Linked DNA regions of Notamacropus eugenii. The protein of the gene in region 1 purifies or fractionates together with the protein of each later gene. This does not show direct contact. Links are inferred from orthologs where the notes say so. Each region holds a gene or a part of one and is shown on either strand. Other genes may lie near its edges.

Region 1 (8,061 bases):
AAGAGAAGTAATACAAAAGTTTTTCTCTTCAGTGACTACATAATGCCTTCAAAAGAACCCCTGGTGACAGCCAAGTGGCTTATCAGAGGAGAAATGTGAGCATATATTGTGGGGGAGGGACAATTCTAAGACCCCAGATCACAAAACGGCCAAGTCTCTTGCCACTCCTTTTGCTAAAGAAAAATCCTTACTTGAAGAAAGAAAAGTACCTGGCTTAGCAGGAGTCTTGACTGGAGTCTTAGCTGTGGCCTTGACTGAAGTCTTAACTGGAGTCTTAACTGGGGTCTTAACTGGAGTCTTTGTTTTCTGTTTCTTCGTAGCTTCGTCCTCTGAGCTGGAGTCGGAGTCAGAGTCGGAGTCAGAGCTGGAGCTTTCAGCTTTCTTAGGCTGAGCTGCCTTGGGGGAAGGCTTGACTGCCTTGGCTGGGGGCTTGGCTCCCTTCTGTTAGGAGAAGGAACAAGTGTTCAGCAAAAGGCTTTGGGGTGTCCAGACAAGGGCGCCCTAAAACAGAACAACATGGAGAATCCTCTTCCCACCAGCCTGACCCCACCCAGAACAAGTTCAGTTTGGAAAGATTTCCTTTCTAATGGCATCTCTGAATCAAGCAGACACAGATTTCTGCCCCTAGTTCCTCTCCTGAAACCCATATATTTCAACCTGGGCAGACTTCTTCTGGCTTCCAGTGTCTTCTTCCTCACTGGAGTCCTCACTGCTACTACTACTACTCTCTGCTGCTTTGGCAGGAATGGTTGACTTCAAAGGCTGAGTGGATGTACCAGGTGGCTTGGTGGCTGGGGAAGAATATGGAATTGGTGAGAATTAGGCCTCTGGACAAGGGGAGTATTCCCAAGCGAGCAAGAAGAACCTTCATGTGCTTTAGCTAGAAATCAAACACATGGAAAGAACACCCCCTCCACTCCCAAAAATTCATCCCTCACCTAATTTTTTGGTTGGAGGCTGTTTGGCCTCTCCTTTATGACTGCTGTCGCCAGAAGCAGTGGATTTCTTAGCTTTCTTTGCTACTGGTCCGTTAGCCTGCAACTTGCGCTTCTGAGCTTTGGAAGACCTACTGGGTGAAGAAAAGGCAAAATGAACTTTGAGAAGGGGCTGGCCTATGAGACACCAAGGAAGAGAGAGCCGAAGGGTGCAGAAGGGACTTACTTGAGCCAGAAACTATAGATGTCCAAAAGGGAAGTGGCATTGGGGTCCTGTTGGGCCTGCAAGGACGGAAAGAGGTAGAGCTGATATCCCTAAAATGCTGGAATTTTTGCAGTCACATCCACAAAGTTCTATTAAGTTAGTCTACTCTTACAACCTGGGCTTTTTTTGATCCCAACATGTTTTTAGCTAGTCTTCCCAGCCTCATATCATCTGCAAACCCGAAGCATGCTACAATGTTTTCATACATATAAATTAAAATTACTGAACACTTACTAAGTACCTACCATGTTCAAGCTGCTAAGGATATAACAACAAAGAAGATACAGACTCTGCTTTGTAAGGAACTCACAATACATTTTGATACAAGGAATTGTATAATAGGAACAAAAGAAGGGTCCAGGCAAAATTATAACTATATTAAAAGCTTCAATTAATTGACAGTTACAAAGGGGCAGACCCAAGGAAAGCTCCACTGCAGCATGGCATCTAAGCTAGGCCTTGAAGGGAGAATGTGAACAAAGCCACTGAAACAGGAAACAGCAAGAAAATGGGGGATGGAGAACAATCCAAGCTGGCTGGGACGTAGAATAACAAGTCACATTTATATTGTGCTTAAAGTTAACAAAGCACCTTCCCTACACCCTATGAGGTAGTAAGCTCAAGTATTGCCTTTTACAATAGAAAAAACAAGCTCAGAAAAGTTGAGTAACTTGTCCATAGCCACAAGTCAGAGGCAAGACATAAACTTGTAACTCAAAACTCAGCATCTTTTCTTCTGTTGCACATTCTGGGATTGCAAATCAAGAGCAATTATTATGAAGCACAAATTTCTACAAATCTTATAAACTTTAAGCCTGGTCCACCAGAAAAATATGCATGATTTCTTCTTGCTGGGGGGTGGAGGGTGAATACAGTGGGAAAGAGAGAAAATACAGTGGTGGGTCCTTGGTAGAGTCAGATAATTCAAATGCACTGAAAAGATTATTCAAGGAGAAAGTGGAAGATTCCAGGTGGAAACACGACTTAGAATGGTGTATCACTGATCAGGGTGAAACATCAACCTGAAGTATTTATTATGTACTAACTATGTGCCAGACAGAAGGCTGGGGACACAGGCACAAAAATGGAGCAGCCCCTCACTTCAAGGAGCGCACGTGCTAAGTGACTGGCTGCAGTGGAAGTGGAAAGGTCGGCGTGTAAAAGCTGTAACTGATAAAAAAACACACGAACCAGAACCGAGCCGGGGTCGTCCCCCTTAGCTGCCCCTGGAGCATCATATGGATCTGACTCTTCTTAAGGGCTCCCCTCCCCCACCGCCTCCACAAACTAAGACCCATACTGACCGGTCCTGCAGCCTTGCCTCGATTTACCAGGAGAGGCTTCTGTGACCACCAGAGCGGGCATTAAGCCCATGACCCCAACGCCAGGTGCCAGGGATCGCCCTACCCGGGCCCCCCTTTCCCGGGGCCCACGAGGGCCCCCTCCCCCCTAGGCCCGGGGGACCACGTGCTTTCCTCTCCCCTCGCCCGGTGCTCAGATCGCCCTCCTCCCCGAGCGCGGGGGGACTCACGGTGCCCGTGGCCTTAGCGAATTTGCTTGCCGCCTCCGGAAACTGGTTGTCGCGCAGGAAACCGAGCACGAGAGGGAACAAGTCGCTGGGCACCACGCGTAACACCTCTTGCTCCGCCATCCTCCAGGTCCGAATGCGTCACCGGCGCGACTCAGGGCTGCACGTCGCGCATGATGACATCACTCCGGCATGGTGAGGGTGAAGGGAACCGGATGTGGCGTCACGGCCAAGCGCCGGAAAAGGCGGGGACTCGGGCCCGCCCGCCCACTCCTAGAAACCTTCCTTTCCCTTTCCCTTTCCCTTCCCTCCCACCCCGGGTCCCACCCCGGATATCTCGGGAAAGAAAAAGTCCGGTCGAACCACTCCGCGGGTCTCGTCTGGTGGGTGAAGGCGGGGCAGGGGCGTCGTGGCTCCGCCCATTCCTGCCGCTTTGGCGGGAAAGCTCCACTCCGGCCCCCGCCTCCGGTTTGCCGGGGCTGGGGCGGGGCGGAGCGGGCCTGTCTTACTGCTGGTTTAGCCAACAACGATTTGGGTCCTTTCGAGCCACAGCTGCTTAAGCTCCCCAGGCCTCCTTTTCCTCCATTGCAAAATGAGGGGGTGGGGCTTCAGGGGCCGGGGGCTCCTTTGGGGGCAGCCGTCCTCCCTGCACCCCCAAACTGAGGGGCGAGGTGTGTACGAGCAAGGCCCCCTGGGGTCCGTGAGAAGAGCCGCCCCCCCCCCAATGCTTCCCGCACTGGGCCCCGCGCATCCCGAGTCCCAGCTGACTTGGCTGGCTGCTCTTGGGAGATCCGGCGGTTCACGGGCCTTTAAAAAAAAAGCCTGTTTTTCAGTTGCAAATGACAAATTAAATTGAAAATATATGGTCATGCAAAACAAATTCTCCTGTTACTCTGGAGAGAGAGGGGACAGAAATAATAGCTACCATGTAGCACTTGATGTTCCACCCGTCCCTCCCAAGCCTACCAGACAGGCACCATTATCATCTCCGTTTTAAAGATGAGACTGAGGCAGCCAGGTGAAGTGTCTGGCCTGGGGCACACACGAGGGGGTTGTCGGCTTTATTCCCAGCACTCTACACCGCCCAGTCTCCAGGTTCGGGGGGTACATGGCTTTTTCATCCCCAGGCCTTCGCAATTTTGGCTGCTCGTTGTGTTCGTCAGAATTCCTACGTCTTTCAAAGCTGATTTTTATAATCCTGCTATTATCGCCTTCCTTTTTCTCCTCGTTCTGCTCACTTTACTTCCCTTCCGTTCACGCGAGCCTCTGCTGGTTCCTCTGAAACCTTCCCCTTCATCGTTTCTTGCTGCCCAAGGTTATATTCCATCACGCTCACACCCCATAACTTGTTGGCCGTTCCCCAGTGGAGAGGCGTCAGCTCAGTTTCCAGTTACTGGTCACTACAAAAAGAGCTACTACAAGTAGTTTTGTACGTATGGGTCCGTTTCCTCTTTCTTTTTGACCTCCTTGGACCTAGTATCAGTAACTTTGAGTCAAAGAGTATAAATAGGTTAATAGTTTTGGAACATAGTTCTGACCTGCCTTCCAGAAAGGTCAGACCAGTTCTGAGTTGGATCAGCCTAGACAATCTGATGGGTGTGAAGTGAAACCTCAGAGTTCTTTGAATTTGCATTTCTCTAATTACTAGTGATTTAGAATACCTTTTCGTGACCATTAATAGCTTGTATTTTTTCTTCTGAAAACTGCCTGTTTGTATTCTTTGACCATTTATCAGTCGGGGAATGGCTCTTATTCTTATAAATTTGAATCAGTTCCATATGTATCTTAGAAATAAAACCTTTATCAGACAAACATGCTACAAAGATTTCTCAGTTTCCTGCTTCTCTTCTTGTTTTTAGCAGCATTAGTTTTATTTGTGCAAAAACCTTATTTTAAAAAATCAAAATTGTCCATTTTGCCTTCTGTCAACCTCTCTATCCCACTGGGTCATCAACTCTTCAATCAATCAATCAATATTGGTTAAGTGCCTAATATGTGCCAGGGACTCTGCTAAGTGCTAGGGATACTAAAAGAAGCAAAAGACTCCCTGCCCTCAAGGAGTTTCCAATCTAACGGAGACAACATGCAAACAAACATATGCAAAGCAAACCATATACATGGTAAATAAAATAATAATTAACAGAAGAAAAGGCACTGTGAGTAAGAGGAAGGCTTCCTGTAGAAGGTGGGGTTTTAGCTGAGACCTAAATGAAGCCAGTAGTCAAAAGCTGGAGCAGAGAAAGGGCAGTGTTCCAAGCATAAGGGACAGCCAGAGAAAATGTGTGGAACCCAAAGATGGGAGTGTCTTGTTTGTGGAACAGTCAGGAAACCAGTGTCACTGAATTGAAAAGTCTGTGTCAAGGAGTAAGGTGTAACAAGACTGGAAAGGTAGGAGGGGGGCTAGGTTAGGAAGGGCTTTGAATTTGCTCCTGGAGGAAATAGGGAGCCACTGAAGATCATTGAGTAGGGGGCTGATATGACCAGACTTTCATTTTATGAAAATCACTTTAGTGGTTGAGTGGAGAGTGGATTGGAGTGGGGGGAGACTTGAAGCAGGCAGAGCCACCAGCAGGCTAATGCAGTCATCAAGGGTGAGATTATGAGAGTCCACACCAGGGTGGTAGCAGTGTCAGAGGAGAAAAGGGGGCATATATTAGAGAAGTTGCAAAGGTGACATCGACAAGCTTTGGGAACTGTTTGGATATGAGGGAATAAGAGATAGTGAGGAATCCAGGATGAATCTTAGGTTATGAGCCTGACAGACTGGGTAAATAGTGGCTTCCTCTATTCTAAAAGGGAAGTTGGGGAGGGAGGTTTAAGAGGAAAGATAGTAAGTTCTGTTATGGACATAGTGAGTTTAAAATGTTAACTGATATCTAGTTTGAGATGTCAGAAAGGCGATTGGAAATGGAAAATTGATTACAGGTCAACAGAGAGTTTGGGGCATGACAGGGAGATGTAAGAATCAGCAGAGATGGTAATTAAATCCATAGGAACTAATGAGATCACCAAGTGAAGAGAGAGAAAAGGGCATAGGAGGGAACCCTGAGGGACATCCACAGTTAGAGGATGTGACCTGGAGGAGGATCCAAGAAAAGCAGAGACAGGAAGAAAACCTATCCACAGATGACAGATAACTTTTTCCATGATCCACTAATTTGCTTACGATGTCATCATTTATGTCTAAATCATGTACTTATTTTGAGTTTATCTTGGTAAATAGCATATTTGTCTATACCTAGTTTTTGCCATACTACTTTCCACTTTTCCCAGCAACTTTTGTCAGTTCTTGCCCTAATAGCTGGGATCTTTGGGTTTATCAAACACTGGATTACCGTGCTCCTCTGCTTCTGTATATTAGGTATCTAATCTGTTCCACTGAACAGATTTCTTGTTCAGTCATTTGTCAAACCCAACTCTTCATAATCCCATGCGGGCTTTACTTGGCAAAGATACTGAAGTGGTTTGCCATTTTCTTCTCCAGCTCATTTTATAGAAGACTGTGCCCAACAGGGTTAAATGGACGAGTGCCCAGGATCACATACCTATTAAGTGTCCGAGGCTGGATTTGAACTCAAGATGAGTCTTACTGATTTTAGGTCAGGCACTCTATCCATTTTGTCACCAAACTGTTTTAGCGATTAGAGCTTTGTAGCATAGTTTGAAATTTGATACTGCTGCCCCTCCCCCTTATTTTTTTCATTAATTCCCTTGACATCAACATTTTGTCCTTCTAGAGGAATTTTGTTATTTTTTCTAATTCTATAAAATAACTCTTTGGTAGTCTGATTGGGATGGCACTGGAAAAGTAAAGTGATTTAGGTAATATTGTAATTTTTTTTTGGCCTATCCACGAGTAATTAATATTTCTCTAATTATTTAAATGTCTTAACCTGTGCTAAGTGTTTTGTAATTGTGTTCATGTAGGGTACCAGGGTGTGTCTTGGCAAGTAGACTCCCAAATATTTTATAGTTCTTTTAAATAGAATTTCTCTATCTCTTCCTGCTGTATTTTGCTGGTTATATACAGAAATACTGATGATTTGTGCAGGTGTACTCTATATCCTATTTCTTTGCTGAAGTTGTTCCAATAAGTTTTTTAGTTGACTCTCTGTCACTATATCACTCTACCCACGCAGCTGCAAAAAGTGAGTTTTGTTTGATCTTTACCTGCACTTATTCCTTCCATTTCTTTTTCTTGTCAATGCTACAGCTAGCATTTTTAGTACAATATTGAATAGTAATATTGATGATGGACATCCTTGGTTCAACTCTGATATTACTGAAAGGGTTTCTAACTTACTCTCTTTACAGATAATGCTGACTTCTTGGTTTTAGATAGATACTATTTATTATTTTAGGAAAGGCTCTACTGGGATAGCTAGGTGGCCCAATGGATGGACAGCACTGGCCCTAGAGTCAGGAGGACCTGAGTTTAGATCCAGCCTTAGATAAAACACTAGCTGTGTGACCCTGGGCAAGTCACTTAACCCCAATTGCCTCACCAAAAAAAATAAATAAAAGACTCCACTTATTCCTACACTTTCTAGCTGTTTTTTAAAAGAGGAATAGGTGTTGTATTTTGTCAAAAGCTTTTTCTGCATCAATTAGAATGATTTTTGTTGGTTATTAATATGGTCAGTTATGGTTACAGCTATCCTAACCAGTTCTGTCTTTCTGGTAAATATCTAGCTTAACTATAGTGTATGATTTTTGTGGGATATATTGCTATAGTCTTACTAATATTTTATTTAAAATTTTGCATTAATATTCATTAGGGAAAGTGGTCTTTAGTTTTCTTCTTTGGCATTTCCTCCTTTAGGTATCAAGACCATATTTTTGCCGTGAAAGTAACTTGGTAGTACCCCTTCTTTACCTATTTTTAAAATTTTTATTTATTTATTCTGTTACATTTTAAGTTCCAAACTGTCTCCATCCCTCCCTCCTCCCCACCCAACACTAGAGAAGGCCACCATTTGACATACACACTTGTGCACATGTACACACACACACACACACACACACACACACACACACACACAACACACACACAAGTGAATGTAAAACCATACCATGCTTACTTCTACTTATCAGTTTTTTCTCTGGAGGTGTACATAGTATCTTCCTTCATAGGTCCTTTGTAGTTCATCTGAATATTTGCAACCCAGAATAACTTAGTCATTCACAATTGTTCTCCAAACAATATTGCTGTTACTGTGTACAACGTTCTCTTGGCTCTGCTCATCCTTCATTATTTCATGTCTTTCCATGTTTTTCTAAAATCAAGCAACTCATTCCTTACATCGCAGTAGTATTCCATCATAATAATAAGC
Region 2 (7,817 bases), on another chromosome or scaffold:
TTTCTTCTGTGGTGGGAAGGGAAACTAGCGATGACTATTCTCATAGAAAAAAAGGGATATTCGATAAAGGAGCTTACAATGTGTATAATCTGTAGGGATTTAGGACTTAAAGAGACCATACACAAAAGAAAACTGAAAAATGGGGTTCAGGGTGGCCAGGAAGTACAAAGCAAAACTCCATATTATTCCATGGAGTTGAAGTCAAGCAAAGCAGTTGAGGAAAGTGGAGTTACCAGGAAGGCTGTATAAAGGATTTATTGGACATTCACTCTCTTGAGACCTACTGACCTATCTGCCCTACTCCAGTGCTAGCTGTTGGTATGGACTAATCATAATTATAATCAAATCTAGGGGTCCTGCCTTCCTAAATCTGAATTCATAGAGATCTCAAACTGGTAAGTAATGTTACAAAAGAAAAATCTGTACCTAGAAATCTATATAGCAAAAGTACTAGGGAAAAAAGGTATTATCTCTGGGTTCATTCCCCCCCATTATTTGAACTAGTTGTTGGAATATAGCATACAAAGCGTCTTCGCTTGAAATACAATTATGAACTATTATCTTTGCAGGACTGGAAGGTGGCATCTTTCACTTAGATTCCAATGTAATAAATATTTATCATTCTCAACTTGCTCCTCACAAAGTTCAACCAATTCATCTATTAGCAATAAGTAATTGTATTAGACTATCTTTACAGGACCCCACCCCCACCCCCACCTCCCCCAAGCTCTGGGACTATTTTGTAAACAGGTAAGCTGGCCAGTCTCTTCAAAACTAGGTATGGAGTGAGTTTCCATTGATGTAACTTGTGTGTCCAATGAACATCAAAATTTCATAGTAAAACTGTCACCATGTTGAAAGTCTCAACAATAAACTTGGGCATCATACATTTAATTATTTATTTGAGCATTTTTCTGGCTTGAAATCTTAGCTAGGTGGTAAGCTTCCTTTAGCTTCTTTCTCAGCTGAGAGATGTACTGATTGTGAGTTCCTGCAGTATCTCCTTCTTCAGAGATTCCAAACCAAAAGTTAATAATAGACAGGCATGGCTCATACCCAAACTTCTCACTCTTGGTGAAGTTGTATACATGTATCAAGAAAGTCACATGTTCACTCTGCTGAGACTTTGGTTAGAGGGATAAATGTAAACTGTACTAGGAAACAAAAATTGGCTTCACAAGAGAGAAAAGTTATAATTAGACAGTAGTCTGTCTGAAAACAAAAATCTACGCATTTCAGAGGACTTTGTAAGGTTATTTATTAGGCAATAGTATGATGTAGCAGCCAAAAAACTAATGCGATCATGGGCTACATTAAAACAGGCATAGCTTCCAGGAATAAGGAGGTTGTAGCTTCTCTGTACTCTCTTCTCACTAGATCTCACTGGGAGTATTGTGTTAATTTTGGGTATCTGAGCCACCACTGGGCCTTGCTCCTTACGGAACAGATGGTTTGCTAGTTGCAAACCCAAACTCCAGAAAGATAAGATGTGAGAAGCTCTCTACACCTTTTGAGCTCACAAGATCATAGGCTCTACTTCCTTTACCAGTAAATGAGCTACCCAAGAATAGGAGATTCCCTTATACTTCATGACAATTCTTATTACGAGATGGCTTGTTTTCCCTATTGTCCTTCGTGTGGAAATGCCATCTGAGAAACTATGGGCATGCTCCAAACTCCATTACAGGAGATGCCTGCTAACTTTTGAGAAAGTAGTTTCAGATTAAGTAATGTCAGAAATAAGATTGCAAACGATTGAAGAGTGAGAGGAGTGAAAATGGAGGCAGCAAGTGTAGATAGGTGTTGCAAGGAATCTAAGAAAGGGAAAGAGATACAGAATAATATAAGGGGAAGGTAGTGTCTAATGAAGATTTTCTAAGGATAGAAGAGATTTGGACATATTTGAAGGGCAGTAAGAAAGGAACCAGTTGATAGAGATGTTAAAGATCTGAAAGGGGAACAAGTTATTGACAATGTAATCCGTTAGGGAAAAAAATTGGCATCAAGTGCACATGTAGAAGGGTTGGCCTTCATCAAGGGGAAATGAGGATGTCAAAGGGTTTTGAAATTAAGAAAATGGGAGAAGAGGGAGCTCATACTGAATAGCTGCAGTATTTTTAGTAATATCAGAGACAAGGTCTTCAGCTTGAGAAAGAAGAGGAGGTGTGAAGAATTGTAGGAGGGAAGAAAATGTTGCAATAGCTTTTAGGAGGAATGAGGAATCCATTAGAGAGGAATAAAAGGACTACCTTAATGCAGCAAGGGCCCATTTGAGGATGAATGACATGAATCTGTAATGGACCCAGGCAAGAAAGCTCTTGAGAAGTGGAGGAAATAAATGGTGAAACTAATCCAATGCTGAAATTTGATGAAAAATGAGTAGGACACAGGGACAAGGGCTTCAAAAGCAAAGAACACGGTAGAGTTTAAATGGCTGATTTTGGGGTTGAGAATGAAGAGGGAAGGGAATGAAGTCAAATCAGAGATCATGATCTGAGAAAGTACCGAAGGGTAGAGTGAATGGAAATGTTCATGACAGCAAAGAATATATGTAAGAGGGAAAAAGCAGGAGAAATGGAATGATAGAAAATTATGGTCAGACAGAGAGAGAGTTTCTAATTAGAGAAATAGAACCCTTGTGAATAATGGCAAGAGCTAGTGCATATCATTTGTGGCTAAATGGTATGAAAGAATAGGTCATGGGACTTAGAGAATTCAAGGAAATGGGAGATTAGGAAGTTTAAATGCACATCTACATGAATATTAAAGTATATTAAAGAATATTAAAGTATCCAAGTATAGGAAAAGGAGCTGGAGAAGAAGTGAAGATGTCAGCCTGGGGTTGATCTCCTTGAAAAAGTACAATGGAATAACTAGAGAGGCAGTATACTACAGTTATCAAAATTTTGATGGCGTAGAAAATTTTAATTGTGTAGATTTCCAAAGAGGGCAGGTTACTGAGTGAAGGAGATAGAGGGAAAGTATGAAAGTGAAAATGGGAAGCAAGGAATATTCTGACTCTTCCTCCAAACCACTGAGTATGTGTGTGTTGAGAGAGAGAGAGAGAGAGAGAGAGAGAGAGAGAGAGAGAGAGAGAGAGGAAGTACAATCAGTGCCGGAGAGGATAATCAGAGCTGAAGTGTCTCAGAAAGGAGCCAGGTCTTAACAAGGGCTTTAAAGATGGAAAACATACAAGAAAAGAAGTGCAGGAAGGAGAATTTGTTCAGTATTAAATAGGAATTCCAGAGGAAGGGGTGGGAAGGGTTGGATTAAGATATGAGTAGGGTCGGATTGAGAACTGTGTGAATGAAAGAGCATGAGGAAGGGATAAGGGACAATTTTCTTGGAAATGGCCACTAATTATTACAAGGATAAAGACTGAAAAAGGACAAGCCATATGGTTAGTAGTGGGTGGAAGATGAGGAGAGTTCATAGTTTCTATTGTAGGGGCACTGTAGAAGTACCTGGGCTGGGGTTGGGTCTGTCCCTTCTATGAGAAAGTCTAGTAGAGGTAGTGATGAGTTATTCAGAGTGAAAGGTTCCAAAAGTCTTTCAATTGGTCTTCCTGCCTTAAGTCTCTCCCCATTCCAACCCATCCTCCACTTAACTGCCAAAGTGATTTTCCTAAAGTGTAGCTCTTATCATGTTACATACAATAAACTCTAGTGGCTCCCTATTATCTCCAGGATCAAATGTAAAGTGTTCTGTTTGGCATTTAAAGGTGTACAGAACCTGTTTCCTTACTATCTTTATACCCTTCATGAACAGACTTCTTGGGCATGCACCACTCAAATCTCCTATCTCAATGTTTTTACACTAGATGTCTTTCATTTTAGTCTCCCCCAACCACTTAATGTTCCTGAATTCCTTCAAGTTTCAGCTGAAATCTGACCTTCTGCAAGAGACTTTTCCCTCCACCCTTCCTTCCCAGAGAGTAGTGCCTTTCCCTCTGATATTACCTCCCACATGCTCTCTATATAATTTCAATGTGCCTCCCTGTTTACATGTTGTCTCCCCCATTAGAATGGCTTTTTCTATTTTACCGCAGTCTCTCTGCGAGTGAAATGCTTGCAGTTCCGGCATACAGATATTTTACACTTATCAGATATACTACATACTATAATACATGTCTGTATTAGTATAGCAGGGGTATGACACACGGATGTCTATAGACCACAGACATATCTGTCTATATTTTACACATCTAGTACAGCAGTATGTGACAATTGTTCTATGACATGTATCATATATTATATAACACTGCACAAATTGTTATGTAATTACATAATAGGTAAATACAGTGCCTCTATATGCACAAAATATTTAGTACGAACATATTTTTCGTGTAGAGATCTCCGGGCAATCGGTCAAAACCACAAAAATCACAAGTCACGAACGAGAGACCACGTTCCAGCTCTGCTTCTCCATTTTAAGATTTCTTTACTTTACCAGTAGGAGCGCATCCTGCGGGCCAGGCGTCCCGCTTTAATTGTTCAGTTTTTTTATTCTTATTCTCAACCTCCAGTCAATACGAGACTCTAACCAGTCATTTCCCAAAACTGGGCTTGGGGGAGGAGCACGTTCGCTCCGACCCGCGCTGGGAACCAGGAGTCACTGGCTAGCCTTCTGTCTTTCCCTGTGCGCGCATGCGCGTGCACCTCCCCTCCCGGAAGTGCTGAGCCGCATCCCAGAAGCCTTCATCCGGTCTCCGCTCCTTCCCCGCCCTTACTTTCCCATGAGCCCACGTGTGCTGGGTTCGTGGTTGGTCTGAAGTTTTCGCGCGTTGCGCCCGCCGGGAGTTCTCTGATGCCCCCGGCCGGCCCGGAGCGCTGACTTAAGGGGCTCCCGAGAGGCCGCCGCGCCGCTCCCCCGCTTCCCCAGCTTCCCCGTTGGTTGGGCGCGCGCGGGGGGCTGCCCGGCCTCTCTCACTGCAGCCTCGCCATGTTGGTGCTGTTTGAGACGGCGGCCGGCTACGCCATCTTCAAGGTAGGCCGCAGACAGGAGGTGCTGTGGGAGCAGCGGCGGGGCCGGGCCTGGCCCTCGGGCGCGTGGAGCGAGCGGGGGAGCCGCTCCCCGAGCACGTGGCCCCAGGGAGGCTGCGGAGCCCCGGGCCGGGCCTGCGCGGGGCGGAGCGGGGGAAGGGAAGGGATCGGCCGCCCTCGTGGAGCTGTGGAGACTGGCCCTGGTCCGCCAGAGCCGAAGGCCCCGGCGACTGTGGGGGGCCTCCCGCCTGGGCCGTGCCGCGTGCGGGCAGCTGCCCCACCTGAAGCCTGGGCCTGCTGTGTGCAGCCCCACGACCGAGCACGGGACCGCCCGGTGTGATCAGGGACTGGTTAAACCAGGAAGGGATCGGTGCAAAGCGGAGGGAGGCCCAGAGGAGAAAAAAAAATCTCGTTTCCCTAAGAAACAGAAAGAGGTGGCACCTGCGTTGGGAGGATTCCACAAATAACGATGATAATAATCAATATTTATATAGCTCCTACTGCGTGCTAAGCGCTGTACGGGTATCTCGTTTGGTCCTGACAGCACCCCTGGGAGGTAGCTATTATTATTGAGGAGGACTGCCTTCATTCCTCACCGTTATTATAAGGAAACTGAGGCAGACAGTGATTAAGTGACTTGCCCAGGGTCACATAGTTCATAAGTATCTGAGGCCGGGTTAGAATTCAAGTCTTGCTGAGTGGGCCACATTAAACACTTTCCACGTGCCAGGAACTTTACTAAGCCCTGGGGTTAATTCCATTAGATTGTGAGCTGGAGGACAGAGACTGTTTCTGCCTGTCTTTGTATCCCCAGCATTTTTGGCACCTAGTAGGAGCTCATAGTGTTAATGGACTAGATGGAGTGGAAGGGATAAACTAGATCGCAAAGTGAACGTTTACGTTGCCAAGTCACTAACTTCTTTATTAAAATGAGATTGGTTGAGTACGGGTTGCTTAAAAAATAGGTTGGAATTAAATTACCGGATAATTTTTAAAATTCAAGTGTGCTATCTATATAACTGGACTTATCGGGAAGAACCGTTATTTGGTACATTTGAAGAGTAGTGAGGCCAAATGACCACAGGCAGCAGAGAAACAATCCACACTTCGTTGCATCTCATCTTCAGAAGCTGCCTTGAGAGCTCACTCATCTGGAAACCAAAAGTCACGCATCAGCACTGTCACATGCATCCGTTTTCATCTTGGCTTGTATCTAGTTTGAAGTATCTCAAAAGAAACAGGAGATTCTCAAATGTAGAAAATCCACCCGAAATGTTCACATACACTACTTGTATCTGACCTGTGGTAGAGCATTCTGAACTATTGGTCTGATCAGGCACCCTTGTGACATTGTGGCTTGACTCTAACATAGTGAAGTCATTTGGTCCTTTTGGGAATGAAGGATAACCACCTTTTAAAGTCCTACCTAGTACCCACCCTCAACTGCACTAACCAATACCCTCCTTTCCTCGCCTCTAAAAAAAATAAATTGCTTAGGGCAAGAGGGCGTGGAGCTGTTATTTGGGTAACTGTAAGAAGAAAATTTAGTTATGGCCTTTAGTTTTTCATCTTAAGACTTTTGGACACTATATGTTGTTGGTCTTCTGTTCCAAGATGGGGGGGAGGGCAGTATTTTAGTAGAGTATAGAAGTGAGGGAGGGAGAAGGGCAAAGTAGGCAAGAGTAAGGGAATCTTTCTCCTTGATGAATGGTCTTTGTTGTTGACCAGACAGTTTAGGTGTGACCTCCCTTTAGCACTTATGGCTGATCTCATCCTGGGTTCAGGTTCTGTATCTGGTGCTTACTGCTTGTGACCTTAGACAAATTACTTAAAATCTTTTGGGGCCTCAGTTTCCTCATCTGTAAAATGAGAGGGTTAGGCTCTATTCTAACCTTTTAGATCTCTCTATTCTACCTTTGGCCTTAGCTAGGCCCAAAAAATAGTGCCCTCTACAGAAGAAAATGGGGTGAAAGGGTACAGTTTGCTTGGTACAAACTCTGGTCACAACTACTTTAAACATCTCAGTGGGGTTCAGTAACATCTTATATCATTCATTCAACAAATATTTCCTGAGTACTTGCTGTGTGTAATTTTCTTTTTCTTATTAAGAGAAAATTTGTAAAGTGATTTGAGTTCTTTGGATTTTGCACTTCAGCACCTCCAAGGATCTGTGATTTCTTCAGGGTGGATAACCTCTCCTATAATTTAGTACATGGTCAAGACTTGTGGCCAACTGTGATGTGCCTCTCTGAGTCTAGTCTGATGGGACAGCAGATAACAGTCAGTGTGTCATTGAGTTTACATTTGAAGCTTTTACATCTTGGAAGAACCTGCTATAGTTTCCACTTGGCCTTCAGTGACCTGGTGTCACCTCCATCATGGGGCTTCAGAATGAGAAATGAAGGAAGGCTTTGGAATAGGGGTACATAATAAATATTAGTTAATTTACTTGAAAAATAGGACCATGTAGAGAAGAAATGTGACTAGTCCCATATGCATTTATAGAAGAGGGAAGTAGCTTTCTGTTACCCTTACATATTTATTTAAGGGGACAACATGAACATATAACAGAAACCTTTGCTGTAGCATTTTTTAAAAATCAATTTAACTGATCTTTATTCTAGGTTCTAAATGAGAAGAAATTACAAGAGGTGGACAGTTTGTGGAAAGAATTCGAAACTCCAGAGAAAGCAAATAAAATGTAAGTGTTCTTAATGGGAGCTTTAAAAAGGGGGGGAACTTAATTGAGAATTTGCTTCGCTTTTCCTTGATTTTTATTACTGCTTTGTTTATTGCAAAGTTTATTTGAATTCTATTTGTGCTGTTATCTAATGG

Evidence for each region.
Region 2: the proteins of NOLC1 (region 1) and NOP58 fractionate together in Homo sapiens (co-fractionation; 3 studies listed by BioGRID, with this or other methods). This does not show direct contact. The link is inferred for Notamacropus eugenii from reciprocal best matches to the Homo sapiens genes NOLC1 and NOP58.

Annotation. Positions count from the first base shown.
Region 1 is NC_092872.1:180,290,855-180,298,915, reverse strand, and holds the start of NOLC1 (nucleolar and coiled-body phosphoprotein 1), read right to left. Parts: upstream 3,033-8,061; 5' UTR 2,852-3,032; coding exon 2,732-2,851; intron 1,218-2,731; coding exon 1,162-1,217; intron 1,070-1,161; coding exon 939-1,069; intron 792-938; coding exon 658-791; intron 442-657; coding exon 210-441; intron 1-209. UniProt on the Homo sapiens protein: Nucleolar protein that acts as a regulator of RNA polymerase I by connecting RNA polymerase I with enzymes responsible for ribosomal processing and modification.
Region 2 is NC_092877.1:298,578,337-298,586,153, forward strand, and holds the start of NOP58 (nucleolar protein 58), read left to right. Parts: upstream 1-4,667; 5' UTR 4,668-4,941; coding exon 4,942-4,986; intron 4,987-7,606; coding exon 7,607-7,683; intron 7,684-7,817. UniProt on the Homo sapiens protein: Required for the biogenesis of box C/D snoRNAs such as U3, U8 and U14 snoRNAs. Part of the small subunit (SSU) processome, first precursor of the small eukaryotic ribosomal subunit.